4 linked regions of the Arabidopsis thaliana genome follow. The protein of the gene in region 1 interacts with the protein of each later gene in a pairwise test. Each region holds a gene or a part of one and is shown on either strand. Other genes may lie near its edges.

What was found.
Region 2: the proteins of RAP2.12 (region 1) and ACBP1 interact in binary tests that used the Arabidopsis thaliana proteins (3 or more experiments, as listed by UniProt).
Region 3: the proteins of RAP2.12 (region 1) and ACBP2 interact in binary tests that used the Arabidopsis thaliana proteins (3 or more experiments, as listed by UniProt).
Region 4: the proteins of RAP2.12 (region 1) and AT4G21450 interact in binary tests that used the Arabidopsis thaliana proteins (3 or more experiments, as listed by UniProt).

Annotation. Positions count from the first base shown.
Region 1 is NC_003070.9:20,133,217-20,137,550, reverse strand, and holds RAP2.12 (uncharacterized protein), read right to left. Parts: upstream 2,708-4,334; 5' UTR 2,310-2,707; coding exon 2,015-2,309; intron 1,752-2,014; coding exon 970-1,751; 3' UTR 538-969; downstream 1-537. UniProt on the Arabidopsis thaliana protein: Transcription factor involved in the activation of hypoxic gene expression and in ethylene response. Partially redundant with RAP2-2. Acts as a downstream regulator in the ethylene signaling pathway.
Region 2 is NC_003076.8:21,708,250-21,713,168, reverse strand, and holds ACBP1 (acyl-CoA binding protein 1), read right to left. Parts: upstream 3,000-4,919; 5' UTR 2,673-2,999; coding exon 2,215-2,672; intron 1,829-2,214; coding exon 1,726-1,828; intron 1,604-1,725; coding exon 1,515-1,603; intron 1,312-1,514; coding exon 1,220-1,311; intron 1,139-1,219; coding exon 1,041-1,138; intron 955-1,040; coding exon 778-954; 3' UTR 555-777; downstream 1-554. Other genes in the region: GLT1 (NADH-dependent glutamate synthase 1), read right to left, coding at 3,540-3,800, 3,891-4,148, 4,278-4,545, 4,648-4,919. UniProt on the Arabidopsis thaliana protein: Binds medium- and long-chain acyl-CoA esters with very high affinity. Can interact in vitro with arachidonyl-CoA, barely with oleoyl-CoA, but not with palmitoyl-CoA.
Region 3 is NC_003075.7:13,845,644-13,850,470, reverse strand, and holds ACBP2 (acyl-CoA binding protein 2), read right to left. Parts: upstream 2,923-4,827; 5' UTR 2,698-2,922; coding exon 2,210-2,697; intron 1,934-2,209; coding exon 1,831-1,933; intron 1,751-1,830; coding exon 1,647-1,750; intron 1,384-1,646; coding exon 1,292-1,383; coding exon of another isoform or gene 1,287-1,291; exon of another isoform or gene 1,207-1,286; coding exon 1,109-1,206; intron 1,022-1,108; coding exon 842-1,021; 3' UTR 537-841; downstream 1-536. Other genes in the region: AT4G27790 (Calcium-binding EF hand family protein), read right to left, coding at 1-405; FEY (NAD(P)-binding Rossmann-fold superfamily protein), read right to left, coding at 3,908-4,243, 4,345-4,437, 4,559-4,660. UniProt on the Arabidopsis thaliana protein: Binds medium- and long-chain acyl-CoA esters with very high affinity. Can interact in vitro with palmitoyl-CoA, but not with oleoyl-CoA. Binds to lead ions (Pb). May function as an intracellular carrier of acyl-CoA esters.
Region 4 is NC_003075.7:11,423,984-11,428,911, reverse strand, and holds AT4G21450 (PapD-like superfamily protein), read right to left. Parts: upstream 2,956-4,928; 5' UTR 2,777-2,955; coding exon 2,419-2,776; intron 2,347-2,418; coding exon 2,290-2,346; intron 1,932-2,289; coding exon 1,861-1,931; intron 1,782-1,860; coding exon 1,700-1,781; intron 1,601-1,699; coding exon 1,482-1,600; coding exon of another isoform or gene 1,473-1,481; exon of another isoform or gene 1,221-1,472; coding exon 1,143-1,220; intron 1,056-1,142; coding exon 936-1,055; intron 847-935; coding exon 787-846; 3' UTR 526-786; downstream 1-525. Other genes in the region: AT4G21460 (Ribosomal protein S24/S35), read right to left, coding at 154-421; AT4G21445 (receptor-interacting protein), read right to left, coding at 3,322-3,489, 3,835-4,131. UniProt on the Arabidopsis thaliana protein: May play a role in vesicle trafficking.

The sequences.
Region 1 (4,334 bases):
AATATTAATGCAAGTATCACCATAAGATAATTTCATTTCTTCACAATAATAGGAGAAACCAAATGTTATGTCAAACTTGTCATCACACAACTCAAAGCACCTTGACACTTACATTTTGGGCTACATTTTGACAGTAATACGGTAACTAACAACAATTTATATGAAAAATCAGTAGATTAAATTACCAAATACATATAAATATGTTTCAGTAAAAAATAAAGAATGTGTGCTAATGCTTAGATATTTATACAGAGTGAAAATGACCTAAAGAAGCAGAACTGTCCAGAAGAGTTAATTTACTCTCTTTTATTTTCTGTTATCATAAGGAAACGGTCACGAGAAAGACACAAACTCACCAGTTACCACTTGCAAAAAGAGAGTTCAACCTTTAGAGATTCTTCTGTCGTTTAACGTCGTCGTTTCAACGTTTGTTCCCTCTAGATTCATTGTACCACAAAATAACAAAAGTGGCGCACTTCTCTAGGCAATCACTTTGATGATCAGTTGATCACCGCTTTTTTTCTGATCACAAATTTACGAGAACCGGTTTGGTTCAAACTTAGCTTGTGACTTCTTTGTTATGTTCAACAGTTCTCACATACTCTTAGTAGCATACAAAGAAGATTTATTTGATTAAACAGATGAGAGGTTCAAACACATTATGACAAATGTTAAAGGAGTTTTGGGGCATAAAGTAACAAAAACAAAACACAAACGAATTCAAAAGATTCACTAAAACAAAAACTACCACAACCCCTAAAAATAAGCCTCTACTTAACTTCATCACAACTACCCTCAAGATAGAGGCTCATGGCTTCTCGCAATGCAAACAGGAACTCCTGAGAGAGACAGACAGAGACAGCAGAAGAAGATGCAAGTAACAGACATTAGAAAGTTTTGGAGGTTGATAAACGAACGATGCGGGAAACTCACAAACATGCAGCCTTATTTACATGAAACTGGATCTCTTCAGAAGACTCCTCCAATCATGGAATGAATTTCATCAATACTCCATAGGTCCATAGGGTTTGCACCATTGTCCTGAGTCGTTACAGCATCTTCGTTGAGGAAATCCAGTGAAGCGTCCCATTCAGTGTTGTTGTAAGGTGTCTCGAAATCCATAGACTTGAGCTTCTTAGCTGGATTGGCTTCCTCAAAGAACAGAGCTGAGTTGTTGTTGTTGATAACCGCAGAAGAGATGTCGGGAGTTATCGGAGCTTGATCGCTCCAACCAAACTCCGAACAATCGAAAGAATTACTACCCTGGTCAGAGCTGAAATACTGATACCCATTACATCCAGCATCAACGGAGTTTGTCATCCCAAACTGGTTGTTGTTGTTGTTGCTCACTTGGTGTTTCTCCTCCATGAAACACATATTTTCAAAGGAGATGTTCGAGTTCTGAACCAAAGCTGGACTTGGGTTAGGGTTAGGTTTAGCCACTGGTTTCTGAAGATTAGCCTTCACAGAGCGTTTCTGAGAATTAGCCTTCATGTTTTCTTCAGGGAAATTCACCTTAGCTTTAGATCCACGGATTCTCCGCGCTGCAGCATCGTAAGCTCTAGCAGCTTCCTCAGCTGTCTTGAACGTTCCAAGCCAGATTCTAGCACCTTCCCTTGGATCACGTATCTCAGCAGCCCATTTTCCCCAAGGACGTTGCCTAATCCCTCGGTACTGATTCTTCCTCTTCCTATTTGCAGATTTCTCAGCGTCCCCATCCAAGCCAGTAACTTTCTTACCAAAAACTGAACCTAGTAGTGAAACAACAACAAAACAAAAGAGTTCTTCTATAAATAACTCATCAACAATCTCTAATCAAATCTCATCACACAAATCAAGTCTCATCACTCAACCTCATATGCATATAAATATCACACAAATCAAACCTCATGCTTTATACAACAATCAAAATCGTAAGCAGATAAAGGTATCTATGAACAGAGCTAAATAGAATCGAAACTTAATTTCTAACCAATTCAATCGCTCAAACTAAAGTCAATCCCTAAATATTTACCTTCCGCAGCGGCGGAGACGGCGGGTTTTGGAGTCGAAGTGAAAACGAATGGTTTCACATCGGCGAAAACATCACCGACGTCGAAATCATCATCGCAATCGATAGACGAATCATCTTTGAAACCTTGGAAATCAGCTTCGAACTCAGCGTCAAAATCGAAGAAATTCGAACGATTCTTCGAGCTTTTCTTCGATCCTTTCAAATTCTTCTTCAGATCCGGCCAAATAAACTCGCTAGTAACACGGCGAGACCTCGGCGGTGGAATGAAATCGGATATTATAGCTCCTCCACACATGGCGGCGATTCTTGAGGGTGTAAATGTTCGAAAACAGAATCTTAGCGGCGAAAATGGAAACTAATTGATACTTTTGGGGGTTATATCTTTGCTTCTTCTTCTCTCTTCAACGCTTTGCTTTGTTGTTTTCTTCAGAAAGAGATTTTAGAGTAAAATAAAAGATGAAGCGAGTACGATGGTTGTTTACTATTATACCCTTATCTTGATGTACTATTTACGGTACTACCAGACTTTTATATTCATTTACTGTAGATCTATATTGTAAATTAGGATTTTATTAGTTTATTAATAGTTAGTTGCAGTAAATAAGATTAAAAATTTAGTCAGAGTTGTCTGCTGGTAGACAAAAATAGTCTAAACAAATTTTTACCTAACGTCAATTGATTTTTTCATAAAGTCTATTTCCCTTAGATCTAGTATCTATTAATGTGATTAGGCATTAAAAACACAACTAAATACTTTTGCAATGTTGTTTGCATTCAGGAGTAGCCAACGCAGAACAGATATTTAACATTTAAATTTAAATAATATTATAAATGAATTATGAAAATGTTTTAACATAGGCACAAAATAAATGAATTATTGAAAATATAATGAAAAACTATACAACAACTTTTGAATGTAATTTTGATTAGGAGAGAGGACCATTAAGACCTTATGCTGTTATGCATAAGGCTAAAATTGTAAAAGCATAGAAACACATTTATGAATCTGCGTGTGCAGGACACGTACGATATTATTGAAGCTTTTTGAGCAAGTTGATAGGATTTGGTTTTTATGACAAAGCTTTTGTCGTTTCGTGACAAACAAAAAAGTTATTAAAAATAATCCGAAAAATATATTTGTCCTTTTGTTTGATAACTAGCATTCCAAATCAATTACTAGTTTTCTTAAACTCAATTTAAAATTTCCTTGTAATTCTGTTTACTCTTAACTAACTTTATTAGGTCCAAATTATCAGGCATCGTAAATTACGGAATATTCAGTAGGTATGTGTTATGTGTATGTGTACGTGGAAACCATATTTTGTTGTTTTATGGTGAAATATATTTTATGGTTGCAACTTTCTAAATTATGTATAAACAACTATTGGAAATTCAGTTAAAAGAAAATTTTATTTTATAAAATTCAACTTCATACGTGTATAGTTATACTACATATAATATATATATATATATATATATATATATATATTAGTGCAATCATGTACTATATATTTATATATTAAGATCAAATTGTGAACGCAAAGAAAGACAGATGAATAAAATAGGTAGGGTCCAAATCATTTTACAGGATTGAGACAAGTTCCTAAATTAGCTTATCTCAAAGAAACAGATAATGATGTCAATATGTCATTCATGGAGCAATTATTTGTTTCACTATTTTAACTTTTAATAATTGACTATACTCGTTTCGGAACTGTACATTAGTACAATTTCTTTGTGTTTATAGATATAAACCTTATGTTTTGTTTTTCTAACCAAATTTATAAGAAGCAAAACAAATTCCAGTAGTTGATTTTTTGTTCACTAACTGGAATTCTTAAATCTGAACATAACTTCTCATTAATTGGAATCATTGGATGGATACAAAGTGAAATCATTTTACACAAGGCAAGTTGTCTTTTTGGGCCGAATCGCTAAGATAGTGGGCTTCATAGGTCGAGTTATAGGCACTTGCATTTAGTTTAATTGATTGGCCTTTTAATTGGGCCGAGACCACGAACCTGCTTAGTTACTCGTGACAGTGTGACACTATAAAACAATAAATTAGTTGGGGAATTGGGTTGAACAAAGTGATCACTTGACAAGTAAAACAATAATTCCAATTGTTTAAAATACAGTATTTTGGCCTGTACATATTCAACACGTGACTAAATGAGTTGTTCATATCTTCTCAACCAAAGAGTGTCTATGTCCCTGTCACATACATTTAAAATATCTCCCATACATAAAAAAAAAAGAAGCAAATCGAATAATTTATTTATCAGAGAGATTTTCTTCTTTAAAATAATTCTTTATCCAG
Region 2 (4,919 bases), on another chromosome or scaffold:
TTTTGTTCAGTGTATCCTAATATTTTTATAAAAACTATATATAGGAAAATATCTTTTAAAATTACCCAATTAAAAAAAAGTTGTATAAATCTTCTAAATATGAAAATTTGTTTCCAATCATAATTGTTTGTTCAGTGTATCTTATTTTTTTCAAATAAAAACATAAATAGAAAAAAATCTGAATTACCCAATATATATATAAAAAGGGAAAATATTTTTCTTTATGATTTTTGCACACTAAAAATATATTTCTGATTAAAGAATTGATATAATCTGGAGTGATTATGTCGTACATCGCGTGTTGGGTGGTCCTTATCTGAACCCCACCTTATATATTCTCATCGTTAATTAATCAACGGTCCGGATTGTTTTACAGCGAGATGCGAAGAAGAAGATTTTTTTTCTTTTCTTATTCCGAAGGTACAATTTGTATCATATTTAAAATACTTATAAATTTTACAAGTAATCAACAAAATTGTTTTACAGGTATGATAATAATGATTCAGATGGCTGAAAAAACATGAAAGGGTCACGAACGAAAGAGAGAAACATTATACTAACAAAAAAAAAACTATTATTGAGTTATGATGATTGATGATGATGATCTCTCTGGGTTCAATATAGTAACCAATAAAAACTAGAGCTACTATATCATATGTAACTTGTGTTGTTGTATGTTAAAACATAAGCTTAAGAGGAAGCAAAGAGGCTCAGAGGAAATGTAAGAAAAACACAAGCATCTAGCTTTGACACACAATTTTAAAGACTTAAAAAACACTAATTGGAATCCTTCTTCTCTCGCATCCAAGACCATTCTGATTCACAGAGATCAAGAGGCGAGTTTCCGTCTTCGTCTTTAATGGTTGTATCAGCTTTCTGCTTCACCAGAAACTCGGCGAGTGCTTCTCTTTCGCACACAACAGCATAGTGTAGAGAGGTTTGGCCTTCATTGTCCTGCACAAAGTTTGTCAGCGACAAAAACATAAAAGTCTGTAATTGAGAGAAAGAATTAGTTTAGGGGGTTTTGGTTATTTATTTACTTTAGCATTCACATCTGCGTTCTTATCAACCAGAGCTTCAGCAACGTTAAGATGGCCACGGTCTATAGCCCAATGCAGTGGTGTTCGACCTTCACTATCTGACATTTCCAAGATGGAGAAACTGTTAAGTTTCCAAACCAGATCCGAACATTCTGTGAAAATGATACAAGACTACTAACCTCTTGCATTTACGGGTATGCCATTTTCTATGCATTTCAATAGATTCTCGACTTCTCCTTCTCTAGCAAAGGCGTGTATGGCGTCAATCTTCCTGGAACATGGAGTAAGAACGCAAGAATGAACAGAGCTTCTACTATGATTTAAACTAACACATGATTCTTTGATCTACCTAAGGTGAGTATTATGATATATACATTCCTTCTCTGATCTAGTCAGCTAGTCATATAGAGAAACTGAGAAAAGAAAACCAAAAGTTCATAGATGAATCTGTAACTAATTGCTTAGGAACCTTACAACTCATTGTCAGATTCCTCTTCGTACACCAATGAGCTAAAAACCGGTCCCATGGGGCCTGCAGCCTCACCACTCCGATTTCTTCGTTTCTAATAGTCCGCAACGAAGCAAACAAGCCAAGAAATAAAGACAGATTTAAGAACGAAAACAGACCATCCATAAACAGTCCAAAGAAATGGGAATAACAGAAGCAGGTAAGAAGACAACTAACCGAGCCACCTTCAACCCAAGCTGGGTAAAGCTGAGTAACAAGGTCGATATACTTCTCCATCGCTTCCTCAGGAGGCATAGCACCCAATTTCTGCCATGCTTGCCTAGAACAAAAAAGATCATAACAAATCTCAGTCGATCAAAATGCATCCCTAAGTTACCAATCAACAAAACAACAAAAGCAAATCCTTTCGGTACTCACACAAAGCAAGATACATCCAGGATGAAGAATAATCAGTACATCACAAGTAAACATGATTAAGTAACAATCTTCACAGTCATAAGATTTGAATCAGATCACTAATCAATACACCAACAAAAGCAATCCTTTCCATACATTAGCAATGAAAGATACGAACTTGGTGAAATCAAAATAATATACATCCATGATCAAGAAACATCAGTACATCACAAGTAAACATGATCAAGCAATCATCTTTCACAGTCCCAAACATTTGAATCAGAGAATCAATAAGAGTGTTAGACAAACCACTTGGCACGAGCAGTCATTTTAAGAGCTGATGGTTGAGGAGCAGTACAAGGTCCTTCAGTAGCAATTTTATACAATCCATAAAGCTGAAGTTGCAACTCATTAGAAACTTTCTGCGAAAGCCTATCCGATGCAGCAGCAGCAACAAAAGCCGTAGCAGCACTAAATGCCTCATCAAGTTCTGTACTTTCGACACCTTCCCAATCATCATCATCTGATTCATCTTCATCACCTCTCAAGCTACCTTGCTCAGCTATAAGAGAATCAGTCTCGCCGCTAATCCCAGTTAAAGTTTCGACCTTTCGCAAGTTCTCATACTCCGATTGAGTCGTGTGGTTACGAGTGAGTGAGAGATTCTCGTCTTTAAAAGCGAGGAGGATAGAGATTAGCTTAGCGAGAAGGTAAGCGAAGATCAAACCAAAGATTATAGACTGTGCAAGCTGATACCAATCAGCCATTTCCCCCAAATCGAATAAGAAAGTAAACCCAATAGAGATTCAAACACAACGAACTCGAAATCTGAGAAAATGAACCCTAAATTTCAAAGAAGGGTCACAATAACGCATCTCCAGAAACAAAAAGGAGCCACCTTTTTGGAACTCTTGTTTTCACCGCTTCACAATTTTCTTTTTCTTTACTTTTTTTTTGTTTTCTCTTTGTGGGCTTGTCTTTTGTTGAAGACCAGAGACAACTGAGGAATTACACGTAGGATTGAATGGTTGCGACGAGAGACAACTGACGAATCCGTTTGTTAATTGGACCGCTTTTCATCTACCAACTGGTTGGGACCGAGAAAAAATGAAGAAATTTGTTGGAGACAAACTACATACCGGTTTTACATACCTCAATCTTCACTGTGTAATTGAAGATCATTTTTTTCACTATTTTACTGAGCAAGTCTTATGATTCCTAACATTGTTTACAGTTTACACCACCATAAATAATATGAAAGAACACAAAGAGGGCAAAAACAAGAAGCAGGAACTGCATTACAATTCCTTAAAATTCAAACTTAGAAACAGCCATAGAGAAAAAACAAAAGGCTTTCAATTTCAGAAAGCTTTAACAAAAGAAAGCTACTGAAATCCTACAAAGAGAATGTACTTATGAATCATTATTACTTTATGGACGATAATAAACAAAAACAAACCTAAACTTTTACTTCTCTCTACTAAATCATCAAGTTCGGTACTTTTCCTCTGCAACTCTCTTCCTTCATCTCTGCCATAAGTCGGTCCTTTACGCCTGTGTGTCCTCTAAAAGAGTAACATCAGTTGTCTTTCTCTCTCGACTTTTGCTTCAGATGAGTAAGGCTTTCTTTTACCTCAGTTTGTGATAGTGTTGTGTTTCATCTGGTTAAGGTCTTGTTGTAGCTTGGCGTCTTCGTCATCATCCGTTTTGGTGAGGAATTTGTCTACCTGATCTGCAGCTTGACGTCCTTCTGAGATAGCCCAGACAACCAAAGACTGGCCTCTCCGACAATCACCTGCTGCGAAAACACCTTCCACGGTTGTGGAAAACCGGCCATACTCGGCCTTAAAGTTTGACCTGTTGTCACATTCGAGACCTAGCTTCTCAGCAAGTGTCTGTAAAAACAAAAACAAGCAATTGGTTTTAAATCATTGCCACAAGACCCACAATATATAAGAAGAGGGTACACAACGGGAATCACTTACTGGCTCAGGTCCAAGGAAACCCATGGCCAAGAAAACGAGGTCTGCTTCAATGATTTCCTCAGAGCCTTCGATCTCCTTGAACTGGAACCTCCCGGTTTCATCCTTCTCCCAACTCACACGCACAAGTTCAAGCCCCTTCACGTTTCCATTGTCATCTCCTATGAACCTCTTCGTTAAGACCTCATAGGTCCTAGGGTCTTTTCCGAATTTGGTGGTAGCTTCTTGATGTCCGTAGTCAATACGGAATACACGAGGCCACTGTATTCACACGGAAGCTCATTAAAATCAACAATATCCAACCTTGCTCACAACTCTTTTTAATCCAATGGATGCAAAAATCTTGAAGAAGTTGCTAAAAGGATTGAGTGTAGAAGATCTGAAACAAACCTGTGGCCAAGGGTTTCCAGGAGCTCTTGTTGAGGGTGGCTGAGGAAGAAGTTCTAGGTTTACAATGTTGGTACATCCATGGCGGATAGATGTTCCGATGCAATCTGTGCCGGTATCACCTCCACCAATAACAACAACCTTTTTCCCTTTTGCAGAAATGTAATTGCCATCCTCATGATTGCTGTCAAGTAAACTTTTGGTGTTTGCATGAAGAAACTCCATGGCAAAGTGAACACCAGATAGATCACGACCAGGCACTGGAAGATCTCTGCAAAATTACCCCAATAATGTCTCGGTTAGTTCACCATAATCCATTTGAACGTCTGGTAACATAAATAGGAATTCAGCATTGTTTGAAACAAAATATTACCTTGGTTTTGTGGAACCAACAGCAAGAACGATTGCATCATTCTCTTCCTTAAGTCCATCAAGGGAGTAAGATGGGTCCTTTCCAATATTGGCATTGACCACAAAGTTGATACCTTCTTTGGTCATAAGATCAACCCGCCGTTGAACGACGTCAATTTTGTCAGTCTTCATGTTTGGTACTCCATACATCATCAGCCCACCAATTCTGTCCGAGCGCTCATACACGGTTACTAAATGGCCCATTTTGTTCAGCTGGTCAGCCGCAGCTAACCC
Region 3 (4,827 bases), on another chromosome or scaffold:
TTTGGCGGTTCTGTAAACCATGTTGTCTTCTGTCTGTTGCATCATCCATGTCTGAAGCTCTTTCAAGCTCACAAAGCCATCTCTTGGAGACGCGTCAAGCAGAGGAAACAAGAACTTGATCCTCATTGTCGTGTTAAGCCTTCTCTCTTGTGCAAAATACTCCTCAAACATATCATCTTTCTCCTCTTTCGCAGCCTCCACGGTCTTCGTACCAGCTTCTTTCTCATGAGACAACCTCTCAATCCGGGTCACCAAAGGGTCAAACACCGGCATTTCAAGCCTCCGTCCGATGCGGCGGGTTATGAGACCCTCAATGGATTGAGTCTGGTTTTGTTTCTTATGAGCGAGGAGGATGAGGAAGATGATGGTGGCGGTTAGTATCGTGTAAACCACCACCTTGGCCATTTTCCGGTAGTCCAAGGTGGGGTAGGGAGAGAAGACGAAAGGGCCACGAAGATTGCTAATTCTGTTTTTGTATTTGCTTTATTGGGGGCTTTCCTTAAATCATTAAATTATGTTCTATCAACCGTTTTTGCCGCCAAAGTCGGTTATTTATTCGTTGAGGATCCAATGACTCTTCCTCTGTCTATATGTGTGTATTTATAGCAAACCAACAAAACCGGTTACGACATATCATAAAGCCTAAAGGAACAAAAGATTGTTAAAATGTAAGAAGAAAGAAATCAAAGAACAAGACTTGGTAACATCCAAGTGATATAGTGTTGGAACATCCCAGTGATGTGGTAGGGATGGAAAGAAAGTTTAAAGTAAAGAAAAGCTTCTTACTAAGTCATTTGATCATATACATTGCGGATTTAGAGAAGACGTGGTTAGTATTTGTTTAGTCTGCCTGCTTTGCAGAATCTCGGATCCAGGGCCAGTCTGATTCACAGAGATCAAGGGGAGAGTTTCCATCCTCATCTTTAGCGGCTGTGTTTGCGTTCTGTTTAACCAGAAACTCGGCGATAGCTTCTCTGTCGCATACAACAGCATAATGCAAAGGGGTTTGGCCTTCGTTGTCCTGTTCAACACAAGAACCAAAAACACATAAATAAAGAAGTTGCTAACTTTGCAGATAATGACTGGGTAGGAATTTCTCTTTCGTCACCTTAGCATTCACATCGGCGTTCTTATCGACCAGAACTTTGGCGATGTTGAGGTGGCCACGGTCTATAGCCCAGTGCAATGGTGTGCGACCTTCACTGTCTGCAGTTTATGGGAAAATTAGAATGCAGATCCAACATCACGAGAATGAACTTCCAAGAAACGGAATATACAAGCAGAGACTAACCCCTTGCATTTACAGGAATGCCGCTTTCAATGCTTTTCAGTAAATTCTCGACTTCTCCTTCTCTAGCAAATCCGTGTATGGCATCAATCTTCCTGAGAGATAAAACAAAAGTTCAATGAGCAGAGGATTAGTGTTTCATTCAGATAGACAGGAAGAAACGAACAGCTCAAAGTTCCATGAGACAATTGTAGCCATTTCACCATCAAAATTTGCTACAGCTAGAACGAGACAGTAATGTTACATATTCACCGAGTTTATGAGCCTCTTTCACAAATCAGGATACTTATATCTAATCTAGACATGAACGCAAGGATCAGGATATAAAACACATGAGAATACAAGAAGAGAACCTTACAACTCATTTTCGGACTCCTCATCATAAACCAAAGAGCTAAAAACTGGTCCCATGGTTCCTCTTGAGTTGGAGGCTGCATCATCCCCACCCCGACTTCCGGCTTTCTGTTAGTGAAGCTCACATGAACAGGCCAGAGGAAGAAACCGAAGCAATCAAACAAAGAAAAGGGGAAAAAGCTTTATACCACGCCACCGTCTAACCAAGTTGGGTAAAGCTGAGTGACAATCTCAATATACTTCTCCATCGCCTCTTCAGGTGGCATAGCTCCCAGTTTCTGCCATGCTTGCCTGAGATAGAACAAGATCATGGCACATCCCAATCAATGAAATTGCAATCTTACAACAAACCACAATTCCATATACAATCAACTGTTACAACAGTAAAAACCACATCATCGTCCAGCAGTTGCATAAGCTAAGAAGCAAACTAGGTGATTGTCTATGAAGAACCTAAAACCTCAAAAATTTCCACCTCAAATCAAATCTCAAACAGTTGAACAAAAACACCAGAAAATGATACATAGAAGTTAATGGCACAGCAGATTCAACGAAAGAGAGAGATACCACTTGGCACGAGCAGTCATTTTGAGAGCTGATGGCTGAGGAGCAGTACACGGCCCTTCCGTAGCAATCTTATACAATCCGTAAAGCTGCTGCTGCACATCACTCGGTACCTTCTGCGAAAGCCGATCTGCGGCGGCGGTAGTCACAAAAAGAGTGGCGGCGCTAAAAGCCTCATCGAGTTCCGTGCTCTCGACGCCTTCCCAATCATCATCTTCCTCACTGTCGTCACCGGCAACGCTATCACTTCGGGAGCTACCCTGCTCCGCCACAAGCGAATCCGCCTCACCACCGAAACCACCGCAAGAGGAATCGAGACGTCGCGAGTCAACTCCTTCCGGTTTAATTTCCAATTGAGACTCCTCTGGGTGACGAGTAAGAGAGAGATTGTCTTCTTTAAACGTGACGACGATCGAGATCAGCTTAGCGAGAAGGTAAGAGAAAATCAAACCTAGGATCACAGACTGAGCAAGTTGAGCCCAATCACCCATTATTTCTAAAAACGAAATCAAATTCTCAAAAACGAAAAACCAACGCCGATAATTAAAACCCTAGAGAAATTTCAACACAGAGTCTCACGAGGAGGATGAAGAAGAAGAAGGAAGCCAAGGGATCTGGAGAGACAAAAAGGAACAAACTTGTGTTGTTTTCCACCGATTCAGTCACCAAACAAAAAGAGAAGTTCCTTTTCGTTGTGGGCGTTAAGACTTTTTAATGAATTGGATCAAAGTTTAAAAGACGACACATAAAAAAACTTGGCGACGAGTGACGACAGATCACATATGGGTCTAATTGGGGAAGAAGTCGACGTGTTGTACCCTAATCTTTTTTGCTCCTTTTACCAACAAAATTAAATAAATATTTCACAATAACACGTAAAAAAGTTAATGAATTCAATAACAATGTCAAATTTTGTGGTGGAATCGTGGTCGAAAACAAATCTAGAAGACGTGCATGGTGTTGGGATGATTAAAGGCTTGACTCATACGACACGTAAATTGACATGTATCCATAAGAGAAAATAAGGTAGACCACAAACTTGAAGGCATTAGATTCACGTGAAGTGGGCACGAAAATGAAATCCCAACTTTTTTTCTTATAACAAAAGATAAAACTCATACATGATATTAAATAGTCCCACTTCCAAACATTGCTTGCTCAAATGAGCATCTCATGAAGAGAAAACCCAACCCACCCATACGAGTGAGTGAATCATTTTTACATGGAATACTCATTTAAGCAAGAAACATTAGAAAGTGGAAAGGAGAGTTTATCACTTTTGTGACTTTGTCACCATGAGAGTAAGAGAGATGATGACTCTAATTGATATATATCCCTATAACTATATATGAGCAACGTGACTCCACAAACAATAAAGAAAATTACGAAAATACCCTAAACTCAAACAAGAAACTACCCACCAACCCAGGCTACCATACTCTACTACTGAACATCTTAATAACTCCAAGACACACTAACCAAATACTTGAACAAGACTTGTAAGTAAAAGCAATGGAATGGTAGCTAAAGCTTGACTTTTATCCAACAATCAAACATTCTCAAGCAAACTACATGCCTGGGGGATTCATTCCCCACTGTATCGTGTAGATTAATACAAGGAAACAAAAAAAAAAGATATTTTCTCAATTACCTACCCTTTGATCTGTAATGGGTCACTTAACCTGTGGTAATTTTGAAAGACTATTCGTGTTGTGCTCCATACCGGCATTGGATATTTTCCCCTTCTATGAGCTTCTCAACTGCATCGAGAGGAAGACCCACCAGCTCTAACGTCTTTTTCCACACTCTCTGTGCAGTTTCTGTGTTGTGTGCTTCTTCGGAAGGATTTGCAGGGCGGCAATCTTGAGAGATGAATGGGCAAACAGGCCAATCATCGTTTTTTAGTGTTTCCCAGTACTCTGGAATCTGAGGATCTGTGGCCGAGAATAGAGAACTTCTACAACCTTCTTGGGGTGAAAATATGAAATAAGGTATCACTGCGTAAAGAGCTTGAAGAATCCTGGATAGATCCCTGGCCTGTAAATTTCGGAAAGAAATAGGCAGTTCAACGCAATGAATTTCTGAGAAAACAGAGGAATCCTGCACTTGTAACGAAATGAAGTGAAGCTAATACTCACAACATTTGTTAGGACAACACCAGGGGATAGACATACGACGCTGACTCCTGTTTCCAGAGGAAGCTTTTTGAAAAGAATGCTACTAAACATAATCTGGAAGATGGAAGATCAGAGAGCGAGACTTAACTCACCAGTTTCTGAAAATAAGCCTCTTTCAGAAAATGGAAACTACGGCAGATGAAAACTACGGCAGATGTCATTACTGTAAGCTCACCTGGGCAAGCTTGCTGCTTGAGTATCCTATAAGGCTTGAGTACTTACGTCTACCAGAAACAACATTCATGTCATCCGGGTCAACAAAACCGACACTATGCATCTACAAAAGTGAATCCCACAACCCATTATCTTGCATGAAAAAGTAATAATCAAAGACAATAAATATAAACTGTTTCAGTTTTCATAAACAGCCAGGCACAGAATTCTTCTGAAATGAGTAATGACATAGTGCAGTCATGGAAGCGTATTTGGGGTTGAAACTTTCAA
Region 4 (4,928 bases), on another chromosome or scaffold:
AAGCTACGAATCTTATATCGAAGGATCAATTGAAAACTGTGAGGCATTCAGAAATGGCGAGATGAGAATTAGACTCACACATTTCAACTAATACAAGGCCATTTCAAGTGTGAGGTAACCAAACAAGCTTGAAGAGAGGATAGAGTCTGTTACCTTTGTTGCTGACATCCTCTACAACGAGATCCTTCTTATCGGATGAATCAGTCGGCGAAGACTCAGTGGCAGTAGTCGAGTTCTCACCGGATTCGGAACTGAAAAATCTGAATTTGGGAGGAGCCGGAGCGGCGATTGGAGTGAGAAAGGGAACATTGGGGGAGATCCTAGAAGAAAGAATGATTCTGCGAGCGCAGAGAGATGCATTTCTGAACAGAGCTCCTCTCATGGTGTACCAGAGAGAGATTTGGATTTTAGTTTTCTTCATACGAACAAAAGAAGCTTCGGTTCGACCGGTTAAAGGATAAACCGAACGAATCAAATATAGAAACGACCGACCGGTTCATTTAGCACCGATTTAGTAATTGGAGAGCTCAAATTTCGATTTTAGTACACTTTCTTCTCTGTTTTTATTAGTCCTTAACATGAACAATTCATTATCATCAAACCCAAGTTTACATTTCTTTTTTACATGAAAAAAGTTTCCTTCATTGTCTTTTTTTTTTACCAGCATGATCCTTATATATTGCATCATGAATCTAGAAGTTAGCATATAAATTCAATATAGCGGTCCCTTCTTCTTCATCTTCACAAGCGCACTTGTTTTTGTCCTGAGAAAACTCTTTTAGTCTCTCAGACAGAGTCAGCTCCTTCGCCTTGTTGCTGTGCAAGATATCTCTCTCTACGCTCCTTCTGTGTTTTTATTAGAGGTAAGACAAAAACAATGTCAGATTTTCACAATCATCTAATGGAAGAGACACTGGATAGCAAATGAGACTGACCCATTCATCGATCACAAGCCCTTCTCCAATCATCTTTGGACCTGTTTCCTCTGGAGGTTTCTTTCGTGCCTCCACCGCTGCATCCGCTTCTGCTAATTGACGCTTCAGTTTTTCCAATGCCTATGTCATTTATCACATAGATTATTAAAGAGGGAGGTCGTAAAATAATAGAATCGTCATCATAAGCAAAATTATTCGGATACTCACAGGGTTGGAGCGCTCAGGATCCAAGAAAATCACACGCAATATTTGCTCCTTAGAGACATCATCCTTTTGCTCATCGAACTGAGAAAAAAACAAAAACAAAAGCAATCGATATGTCTTTTAGATGGAAACAGCATTCAGTGGAATGCTTGGTTATATGTTTGTGCCTTAAAAGGTAACTGGAAACCTCTACTCAGACCAAAACACATTCTTAGTCTAGTCATTGATATCTTATGTTTTAGAGATGGGTCAATATCTTATGTTCTATCTGGATTCGGATATGTTACTACTGTTTTCATGTTCAAAGATCAGCTAATAGATAAGATCAGAAGATCAACATACCAGCTCAGGCACATAGTCCATTGGACCTTTCACCTTCAGGCTCATGATTTTAAACTTCACTCTGCTCCTTTGATCCATTGGCTTCTCATTATTCTCAGGAGGCTCAACAAATTTAAACACTGCACATTTCAATCAGAGAAACATTGAATAAGCCATTGTTCTGATAGCCTCATCAAGAAGAATAAGAACAGAGGCGAGAAAACAAAAAAAACAAATACCAGTAGCAATAATAGTCTCTCCAGGAGCAAGAATAGCACCAGGTGGACGCATAAAGCAACTCTTCGGCGCAGTTGTTTGAAACTGAAAGAGCAACGAGTAAGCTCATATACAATAATGCCAAAGACCCAATAACCAAAACGCTTTAGATCAAAAAACAAACCTTGAAGGCTACATGTGATTTGCTTGTATTTTTAATCTTAATAGCACTCCTAACTTGCTTCCCAGGCTCATCTTCAAAACAAAGTAATAATCTAATTCAGTACTCCACAGCATTACTTGTAACAGAAAACAACTAAACTTCCAAAATCCAAATCATGAAGAAAAAAAAAACATGGCCTAAGTATACACCAAAACCTTCCTGCAAAATCATTTGATAGCTAAAATCATTCGTATCTATAAAAGACTCCTAATTTCAGAATGCTTAAAGGAAGACCATATTTAGAGTAATGGTAAGTTAGAATTATAATCCAATGTCAAGATTCTGCTCTTAACTTCCAAAAAGTTTCAAACTTTATGTTTCCTATTGAGTCAATTATCAAACTTATGTATCAATCCACATAATCAGATCAGTCAAATACTCAAATTCTACTAAAAGATAGAAATTTTAGACTAGTGTCAATGGATCTCAAATCTTCAGAAACAAACCCTAGACAATGAAAAAAAGACTGTAATTCCAGAGAAACTACTCCGATCAAAATGAGATTCGAAAAAAGCTCACAAGGAAAATAGAGTTTCTCAGAAGGATCAAGCTTCAATCTTCGTTTAGTAGGAAGAAAAGACTTAGCAACAGATGAAACTGAAGGAGAAGGAGTCGGATGTTGATTTTGACCCGATCCATCACCGTGAGGACCGTTATAACCAAGCTGATGATGGTGCTGATGGTGATGTTGATGATGATGTTGATGATGGTTATGTAGATGAGAAGAAGTAGAAGAAGAAGAAGCTCCAGATGGAAACGGAGAAGTAGCAGCACTTGAAGCGGCGTTTCTGTGACCGCTTGAGTTACGAAATGGAATCTTGAAGAAACCCCAACCTCCTTTGCCGTCGGAAGTTGGTTTCTCCTCCGTCATAGTCATCTTCTTCTCTCAGAGTTTAAGCATGCGAATTTCGACGGAGAAAGGGGTTGACTCGTGATGAGAGCTCAGAGAGGAGAGATCGGACGTGAGATGGTGAGAGAGAAGTGGATTTAATTGGTTGATTTCGCGTCCGTGTTTTGTCTGAAAATAATTTTGTAATTATTTAATATCCGATGGCTTGATTAACGGAAGGAAAAAAGTCGATAGAGACTTTGCTCAAAAACGACAGCGTATTGGATTCTCTTTGTGTTTATTTAAGTCTTTTCTTCTACAACTTTTGGATTTTCTTTCAAAGTCTTTTCTTTTTTAATTGTTTGTTTACTGTTGTCTTTTTTCCTGGTTTCTAGATAAAATTTAAACCTTTTCTTTATGTATTTCAGTCATGGATAATATTTGGAATTGTTGAATACGTTTTATTGTAGGACTTAACAAAAGGTTTATATTTTCCTAGTCAGACCACAATAGACTAATTAAGACTTACGATACATATTCACCTTGTTAATGATCATACTTTTGTGTGGCTTGAATGTAAAAAATAAGGATATTTAAAAAGGAAAATCGGGATCATCCCATTGAAGAACAGCAGATTCAATGTTATGCTCTCTCTTCAGCTTGTCCTTAAGGAACCAATCACATATTTTGCCAGCATTCAACTCTTCTATTGAACATCCTTCTTGCTCTGATATCACTCTTAGCAAATTCAATGATGATATCTGCCAAATCCAGTTCCAAAATATAAGAAGAAGTTCATACGAAACATCTATAAATCAATGTACATGCTTCTAAGAAAAATGATATTCCAGTTATTTACTTAATGTACATATGTTTACTATAGACTGTTAATCACACTTCATTTCTTGAGGACGTGTTATAAGATTTTCTTTTGTTTCACAACTACATATGGTTTCAATTTCCTATGTAAAATTAATGTTTCATTTCCTATCTTAACCATACCAATATATTTCAAAACAATGTAAGAGATTTATTAATAGATTGCAATTAAAATTTGGTATTGGAGGGTTTATAATATGTAGGGATAAATTTATGATTTAATTTACCGTTAGTCGACAGAGAAACTTCTCGTGTGCACCAAGGCCTGAGATTTCGACTAGACCAGCTTCTGCTAAGCTCAAGAAACTTCTTCTCTCAGGCTTGTTTTGATCGTCGGATTCTTCTTCTCCGGTCTCGGCACTTGCTCTTACCAAACAAAGTCCCATCGTTCTTCTTCTTCCATGAGTACTTGTCATGAATGTAATATTATTTGATCTTGCCTGTCGAGTCCTTGCAAAAGTCTTGTCTATGTGAGGATTTACGATGAATTTTGAGTGACGGTAATTATGAATGGCAATGTTCATAGTGACACCAAACTCTCTTTACTTTTCTTTCTCGGTGAGTTAGAGGGTGAAGATGACTAGATGAGGATAACACTTATCCGTTATGTTCGTTGCTTTGCTTTGGAATATTTTAGTGGTGAAGAATGAGTTTGTATTTTGGGCTCTTTTGGTGTTTTAATTTGGGCTTTGGAATTTGTGGGTTTTCTTCTTTTATAGAGTGGACCTTGTTTAGAATTTATTTCATATTTTTGTGTATTTAAATCACTATTTAATAAGATATGCATGTACTTAGAAATTGAAATGTTGGAACTTGGAAGTCCTTGTATAAAATAAAATAAAAATACAAAAGATAACATAACCTTGTGATGGAATAAAGACTTTTGAATAAGAGCTAAGATAAAAAAATTTTATTTTAAAAGCTAAGATAATTTGATCGTAATATAATTCATATATATATATATATATATATATACACATATATATATATATAGATGAATTTGATTAAGTACATATTTTTAATCAACTCCATATTTACGAGATTACTTCTATATTAATGGGTTACATTAACTGAAACATAAATAATTTTTGTTTATTAGGTTGTATTTATTAATATATATTATAGATTTTAGATCAACTAATCCTGGAAAACAAAAAAAGTGAAAACGCAATTTTCCAGAGAGTTCTCGAGTGTGTTGCTGTCTTTCCTCCAAAATTCATATGATAATTTTTAATATTATCAAGGTTTCCCATCAACTCTATTATCGAGCAAATACCAAAAAAATGACCAATATATATATAATCAAACTAACACGTAAATT